2 linked regions of the Macaca fascicularis genome follow. The protein of the gene in region 2 binds, or shares a complex with, the protein of the main gene of each other region. Links are inferred from orthologs where the notes say so. Each region holds a gene or a part of one and is shown on either strand. Other genes may lie near its edges.

Evidence for each region. The genes of interacting proteins can lie anywhere in the genome.
Region 1: CWC22 (region 2) and PPIL2 share a complex: the UniProt entries of both Homo sapiens proteins name them as parts of the minor spliceosome. The link is inferred for Macaca fascicularis from reciprocal best matches to the Homo sapiens genes CWC22 and PPIL2.

The regions. Positions count from the first base shown.
Region 1 is NC_088384.1:31,438,449-31,442,007, forward strand, and holds part of PPIL2 (RING-type E3 ubiquitin-protein ligase PPIL2), read right to left. Parts: intron 1,678-3,559; coding exon 1,621-1,677; intron 910-1,620; coding exon 837-909; intron 748-836; coding exon 685-747; intron 567-684; coding exon 433-566; intron 110-432; coding exon 13-109; 3' UTR 7-12; intron 1-6. UniProt on the Homo sapiens protein: Has a ubiquitin-protein ligase activity acting as an E3 ubiquitin protein ligase or as an ubiquitin-ubiquitin ligase promoting elongation of ubiquitin chains on substrates.
Region 2 is NC_088386.1:75,563,959-75,568,318, forward strand, and holds the start of CWC22 (pre-mRNA-splicing factor CWC22 homolog), read right to left. Parts: upstream 3,109-4,360; 5' UTR 3,069-3,108; intron 1-3,068. UniProt on the Homo sapiens protein: Required for pre-mRNA splicing as component of the spliceosome. As a component of the minor spliceosome, involved in the splicing of U12-type introns in pre-mRNAs. Promotes exon-junction complex (EJC) assembly.

The sequences.
Region 1 (3,559 bases), on a different chromosome or scaffold from region 2:
GCCAACCTGCTGCTACCAGGAGCTGAAGTCCCCAAAACCCCGACTGGGCTTCTTCTTGGACATGGGGACAGTGGCGCTGGTTGAGGGCTCTTCCTCTGCCGCTCGCTTCCTGGGAAGAGAAGAAGCCGCTGGGAGTCCACGCCCTCCCTCGGCCCCTCCTGACTTGTCTGTATCTCCATACGGCCCTCCCGGTATAGGACCAACCCCTCCCACCTGCTGCTCCCACGTCCCCCTGAATTCGATGGCTTCCACCCACAGAGGCCCCGGCCAGGCCTTCAGAGGTAGTCCCTCGGCTGCAGAGGCCACACAGCACAAGCCCATGCCCAGGTCCAGTGCCCGTGGCTTTCTTGCCCCTCTGGATCTGACCCTCAGACCTCAGTCAGCCCTAGGAAACACCATGGGAAACAGAGAGGCCAACCGCGCGGCACTCACGTGGCTGCTGGGTTGATGTACTTGCCCACGCCCTGGCGGAAGGTCTGGGGGCCCTGGCTCCCTGCCTCGGGCTGGCTGCTCTTCACTTTGGTCTCCGGGGCTGCCTCGAGCTGTGTCTTCCGCTCCTGGGCGATCTGTGGCACAAGAGGGTGGAGGCTGACCAGCAGCACCTCGGGCAGGACAGATGCTAGGCTTGGGGTGGGAAGGTGCGCTGGCCCAGACCCTCCTGGTGGTGGCATCGTGCCCCCTCACCTGGGCATCAGCCTCCTCATAGGGGTCCACGAACACTGTAGTGGCATCGATGCGGATCTCCTCCTAGCAGCAGAGGGGACTCAGTGCACGGCAGGTCCTCCCCCCGCCTGCCTGGCCCCCAGCCGCCACGCCCCACCTCCCTGGGCACAGACCTTAGGGCGGTCAGTTTTGGGGTCACTCTCCACATTCTCCATGGCTGTCAGTACGTCAAAGCCCCCAACAACACTGCAGCAGGGAGACAGAGGCGGGTCTGCATGTGCTCAAGGAGGGCACCCTCAGGGCCGGGCACCAAGGCATGTGGGAAGAGGGGTTGAGAGCCCCGAGGCTGGCCTGGTGGTCCTCGGGCAGCAGCCAGGAAGGCGATGAGAGGGCGTGGCAAGGGCGGGGTCAGCAGACCATGGCCCTGGGCATATCCAGCTGGGTTTTTTTTCTGGTTCTCTTTTGGTTCCCCACCCACAGGAAAAATAGGAGTCACAAATGTGGCTTGTGCTGTCCCCACTGGTTTGGTAACAGAGTTCCACTTGGCCAGAACCACATCACCTGCATCCACCTTGTTTTGTGCTGCTTCCACACAGTTGGGTGGGCGTCAAGAGACCACGCGGCCCACAATGCTGGAAAGACCCCTGGACTAGAGGGTGAAGGGAGCTGGGCGTGGCCAGGCTTGTGAGTGGCGCGCCATCAGGTCTGAGACAGGGCAGCGGCCAGGCCACGCAGGGGTGTTTCCTCCTCTCCTGAGCCCGGTGGGTCTGGAGAGCCAGACTTCCCTGGCACAGGGAGCACCCTCTGTCCCAGCTCTGCATAGCCTCAACCCCCAGCAGTGACAGCCAGCACGGCACATGGCTCAGGTCCACAGAGAAGGCAGCGAGGAGGCCTCAGGTGGGGAAGGACCCCACCTAGCCCACTGACCCCCAGGCTTCACACAGCCGCTTCCCTTACCGTCCAAAGATGGTGTGCTTCTTATCCAGGTAGGCACAGGAGCGAAACGTGATGAAGCTGGGGAGGAGGGTTGGATGGTTAGGGAGAGCATGGCACCTTCTGCATCTGGCCTGCCTGAGAGCACACCAGGAGCTGCCCACCCTCTACAGTCGGCTCTGGGAACCTGCGGCTTCCGTGGACACGTGGGTGCATGGGGCTCCCTGCTGCTGCCCACCAGGGCAGGTCATCAGCTCCCCAAGGCTGCCCAGGGAACCCCGGACCTCCAGCTGTCCCCAGGTCCTCCTGCTGCCCCGGCTGCTGCCCAGTGCCTGTCAGGGAGTCCCTGTGCCCAGAGCCAGCCTGGTCATGCAGGTCTGTGGGAGGTGGCTGGGACAAGGTGACACCTGGAAAACCAGAGCCAGCCCCGTGCCATCAAGGGACCTGTCGAAGGACTGAGGAGAAAGGAGGCAACAAAGCCAGAGCAGAAATCAAGGGATTCAGAAACGTGGGTAACATAAACATGGACAAAGAAAATGCTCAGGTCATCCAGACACAGTGGCTCACGCCTGTAATCCCAGCACTTTGGCAGGCCGAGGCAGGAAGACCGCTTGAGTCCAGGAGTTGAAGAACAGCTGGGGCAATAGCGTGAACCCTGGAGGCAGAGGTTGCAGTGAGTTGAGATGGCACCACTGCACTCCAGCCTGGGTGACAGAGCGAGTCGCCGTCTTAAAAAAAAAAATTTCCGGCCGGGCGCGGTGGCTCAAGCCTGTAATCCCAGCACTTTGGGAGGCCGAGACAGGCGGATCACGAGGTCAGGAGATCGAGACCATCCTGGCTGACACAGTGAAACCCCGTCTCTACTAAAAAATACAAAAAAACTAGCCGGGCGAGGTGGCGGGCGCCTGTAGTCCCAGCTACTCGGGAGGCTGAGGCAGGAGAATGGCGTAAACCCAGGAGGCAGAGCTTGCAGTGAGCCAAGATCACGCCACTGCACTCCAGCCTGGGCGGCAGAGCGAGACTCTGTCTCAAAAAAAAAAAAAAAGCCGGGCATGGTGGCTCAAGCCTGTAATCCCAGCACTTTGGGAGGCCGAGACGGGCGGATCACGAGGTCAGGAGATCGAGACCATCCTGGCTAACACAATGAAACCCCGTCTCCACTAAAAATACAAAAAAATTAGCCGGGCGTGGTGGCGGCGCCTGTAGTCCCAGCTACTCGGGAGGCTGAGGCAGGAGAATGGCGGGAACCCGGGAGGCGGAGCTTGCAGTGAGCCGAGATCGCGCCACTGCACTCCAGCCTGGGCGACAGAGCGAGACTCCGCCTCAAAAAAAAAAAAAAAAAAAAAAAATTTCCAGGAGGAGCTTGCCTCGGGATGGTTCTTTTACTTTCCTCGTATCTGAGTTTAATTCTGCTTCTAGTTTCCTTCACTGTGTTAGAAATCAGCCAGAGAGAACCACTTGCAGGTCAGAGCGCAGGTCTGCCCCATTGTAGACGTGACATCTGTGGACACTTGTCTGGTGGCCTTGGGGGTGGTCAGACTCGGTGGGCTCAGGATCATGTCCCTGCGTGGCTGGGGGGGTGCATGTTCGATGCAGCGGGGGTTAGGTCCTGTCTCTCACCAGCAGGGTATGTGGGCTGTGCCTGCCTGCACCACCCTGGGGTGCTCCGTGCCACCAGTGCTGGGACCCACCCAGTATCTTCCACTGTATTCCTTTCAGCCTCTCTGGCTCTGCCCTCTGAGGGCTTTTTGAAGGCTCACAGCTGGGGTCTGTCGCGTTCTCATTCATCCCAAAAGTCTTTTTTTTTTTTCCCTTTGAGACGGAGTCTCGCTGTCACCCAGGTTGCAGTGCAGTGGCGCGATCTTGGCTCACTGCAACGTCTGCCTCCCGGGTTCAAGCGATTCTCGTGCCTCAGCCACCCAAGTAGCTGGAATTACAGGTGCCCACCACCATGCCTGGCTAA
Region 2 (4,360 bases):
TATAGTGAGAAAAAGCATAAGTCTGGGAGTTTGCCAAAACTAGTATGCTCTCTGGCTTTACAGTTCCACCACCCTCCCATGCTCAGATAAACAGAAAAGTGGGGAAATTCAACAAGGGAGCCTTCAAAGTTATAAGTCGGATCAGATGTATTACTAATAGCCACTTCTTTCTTGGACTAGCTCCAGGCACCATGAACAAACCATGACCAAGTTAGGGATATGATAGGTAGTACAAAATTCCATCTAAATACAGGTGGACAATAAACTGAAATTATTATTCAAGTTAAGGCATGGGCATTTGAAATACAAAATGTGTCACCGTGCTGTCTTCTGGGTGGTCTCAGGTACAAGCCACTGTAGGTCATTCAACAATGTTCAATCATGGGGAAGGAGAGTTAACTTCTTTTCTTTTTCTTCTTCTTTTTCTTGAGACAGAGGCTCACTTTATCACCCAAGCTGGAGTGCAGTGGAGTGATCTCGGCTCACCGCAACCTCCGCCTCCAGGTTCAAGTGATTCTCCTGCCTCAGCCACCCGAGTAGCTGGGGCTACAAATGCACAGCACCACACCCTGCTACATATTTTTGTATTTTTAGTAGAGACAGGGTTTCACCATGTTGGCCAGGCTGGTCTCGAACTGCTGATCTCAAGTGATCCGCCTGCCGTGGCCTCCCAAAGTGCTGGGAATGCAGGCATGAGCCATCGCGCCCCAACAGAAGAATTAACTTCTAAAAATTCAACAGCTGGGAAAGCTAATAGAGCTAAGAAAGCTCGCTTAGAAAAACCAGGTAGTCTAGGAAGTGTCAGAACTCCAAAAAGTGATTGGAGGTAATCTATCCAAAGCAGGGAAGGATGTGGTGGCATAATAATAAATACTGGCTGGCCATGGATCAAGTACTTTGGAGCAAGGAGGGAAACAAACCTGATTCTGAGGACAGGGGGAGGATGAACCATAGCATGCCCCTAAAAGATGGGCTAGAGCAGAAGTTTTCAAACTAACTGGCATGAGAATCACTCGAACGCTTTGGCGCAAAAAAACCCAAAAAAAAAAACAAAACTGTTGGGCCTGCATTTCTACGTTTCTGATTCAACAGAACTGGGTGAAGCCCAGTAATTTACATTGCTAATAAGCTTCAAAGAGATGTTGCTGATTCAGGAGACCACATTTTTGGAACCACTAGACCAGGGTATTAGATCAAAGTTCTTGGCCTTTAACTTATAACCAAGACGGTCTCAGAGCCCCAGTCAATTGAGTTGGGTAAGACTCCATAAAAGTGGCATGGACACTTAAAACTAGAAGGGCACTGGCCGAGCGCAGCGGCTCACCCTGTAATCCCAGCACTTTGGGAGGCTGAGGTGGGTGGATCACGAGGTCAGGAGATAGACACCATCCTGGCTAACATGGTGAAACCCCGTCTCTACTAAAAATAAAAAAAATTAGCAGGGCGTAGTGGCTGGCGCCTGTAGTCCCAGCTACTCGGGAGGCTGAGGCAGGAGAATGGCGTGAACTCGAAAGGCGGAGCTTGCAGCGAGCCAAGATCCGCCACTGCACTCCAGCCTGGGCGACAGAGTGAGACTCCGTCTCAAAAAAAAAAAAAACCTGGAAGGACACTTAAAGGTGGAAAGGCAACACTCAGACCCAGAGGGCAAGAACTGAGGCACAGACAGAACTCATCAACTGTATCATAGTAGCAATTTACAATAATACAAAGCTAACACTGTATATCAGGCACTGTGCTCAGTGCCTCATCTGCATTATTTTCTTTATACTCAAAAAAAGACAACACAGTGAGGCAGGTATTGTATTATTACCTACATGTTTTCAGATGATGAAGCTGACTATATATAATAGAGACTTTAACTTGCTCCAAGTGACAGACCTAATAATAGCTAAATAAAACTGAAATCTTTGGTCTACTAGTCCATCACCCAGGACCAACAAAAGTAGCTTTCCTCAACCTACTGATAAGGCCTGTAACAAGGCTTCTCCTCTCCTGGTCAAAACCACACTTTTAATGTCAATTTTAAATCTGCCCTTGCATAGTAGGATAATCTGTGTTAACTCCTGAATTCACAAGCAATCCTACAACAAGATAAGTCTAAATACGGATAAGAGGTAGGTTAACTGATCTGCTGAGGACCCAATTTGTTTGTTTATCTGCTATTTCGAGTCTCTGCACATCCAAAAATGCAAAGGAAACTCTTACCTAATTCTTGCATCTAGAATAGCCTTTCTCCAAATCCTGCCTTCTCCAATTACCTCAAAAGAATTGTTAGGATTAAGTGGAAATAGGTATGGTAGTTTTTGCAGTTAAACTCAGTGAAATTAACGATTATATTTCCGTTCTATAATGCTGTGTTACAGGACCCAAAGCTCCTTAGAGAGGTGGAGTCTGGACACCCAAGTTTAGCAGTTATTACCTCATTGGAGATAGTTCAAGTTATGTAAGGATCAAGAATGACAGGTGAAGAGGACACAAGAGAAGCGAAGCGTCTTCAAAACTAAACTCTAGAAACTATCAGTATTTACAGGGCAAATAAATGAAAAAGAAACCGCTAATGAAACGTAAAACAAATAGCCAAAGGGATATAACGCCGGAAAGAGGCATAAGAGTGCAAGTACTTCAACTAACTTTTAATCAACTAGAGCTCATTAATCCCACTCCCCAGGCACTGGGAAAGGGGCTTTGGCAAGCCCAATGGACTCCAGAGGCTCTAAGTATAAAACACACCGCACACGAAACAACAGAGCACCAGCGTTGGTGCAGGACTTCAGACAGCTGCAGGAACCTCACAAGGAAGGTCAGCCGGTCCGCTCAGGCAGTCAGTCAGTTCACCGCAGCCCATTCGCTCCCCACCCGCTTGGACTCCTCGGACCCAGCCACTCTCACACCCCTCTCGCGGGCCCGAGCGTGGCGGGAAGACCCACGCACACTCCAATGCCGCTCACAGCCGTATCAGTGAGCCCGCACCCACTCCTCAGGGTCTTTCACTTCCCACCCGACCCGACAACCCGCCACCCCCGCTCCGCTTCGGTGCCTACGGGGACTCCGCGGAGTTCGATAATTACCTAAAGCTGCACCGCGCCGCCATTACACCGGATGTACGTCACTTCCTCTTCCCGAGCACCGACAGTAGGAACAAGGCAGATACTGAAATACATAAAAACTTGACGCTCAATTGGCTTGACGCGTTATCCTTTTAATTTATTTCAGATACCATATCATAATGCCAGAGTCAAAGCAGTCGATCCAGGCACACTGTATTCTTATCAAAATGGCGACTAAAAAGAAGTTGGCATGAACTACAAAGTCCGAAATCCAGCACCTGTGCTGACGGAAATGACGAAAGCATAATTGTAGTTTAGCGGTGAAATGGCGCGGTGTACGATGGGAATTGTAGTTCATACAGATGCGCGCCAGCGAGTTAACATCCACGCTGCTGACTGGCAGCCTAGCAGTGTTTAGGGTCTAGGCAAATTTACTTTAATCTAAAAGTATTTCACTGCATTTTGGGAATTTTTTTTTTTTTTTAGTAGTCAGTTGTCACTTTCCTTGAAAATCTTAAGTGAGAGATTTTCTTGAGACTTTTTTTTATAAGAGTTTGACCAAGAGTCAAGTGCCTAATAAATTCCAAGACATCCAAGCCAAGAGAATGGGAGAATATTAGATCATAAATAGAGTGAAATAATGAGGAAAAAATAATTCTGTAGAGACTATGTTGCCTGTCTTTTAAGGTAAGGTACCAACTGGTATGACCTGAGAATAAGGAGATTGCCTGGCTGAGTAGGAAGTAGCAGTTTGTACAGCATGCAGAACTAGGGCATCAAACAAATTGTTTCTTTAAACTTCACTTTTCACTAGTAACAAAACGTAAAAGTTCAACTACTTACTATTTTGGAAACTCTCTTTCTAAAACAAGAATATCTTTATGTTATCAAATCTTTCATAAACCAGGCCTGATTTCTCCACACACTTCTCTATTACAGTTTTAGGGTGCTGTGCTTCCACTCCTTTCTGGAGGCAAAGTGTGAGAATTAAGAATAAAAACACTGCAGTTGGACTACTTACGTTTGAATCTTGAGTCCTTTGATTATTTATGGATGATTGGGGCAAGTAACTTCACATTCTGTGGCCGTTTCCTGATCTGTTAAATGGAAATACTAGTAGTACCCATTCATGCAGTAGTTGTAAGAATTGAATTAGTTGATTCACAAGATACGTTTAAGATAATTGCTAGTATACAATAGTGTTATCTATTTTATTTCATATTTAAGATATTTGGCCATTGTTGATGGTGCACTTTGGTGTACCAATACAGGGCACAGGAGATGGATCTGGAGATGAACATTTGTATTTATAT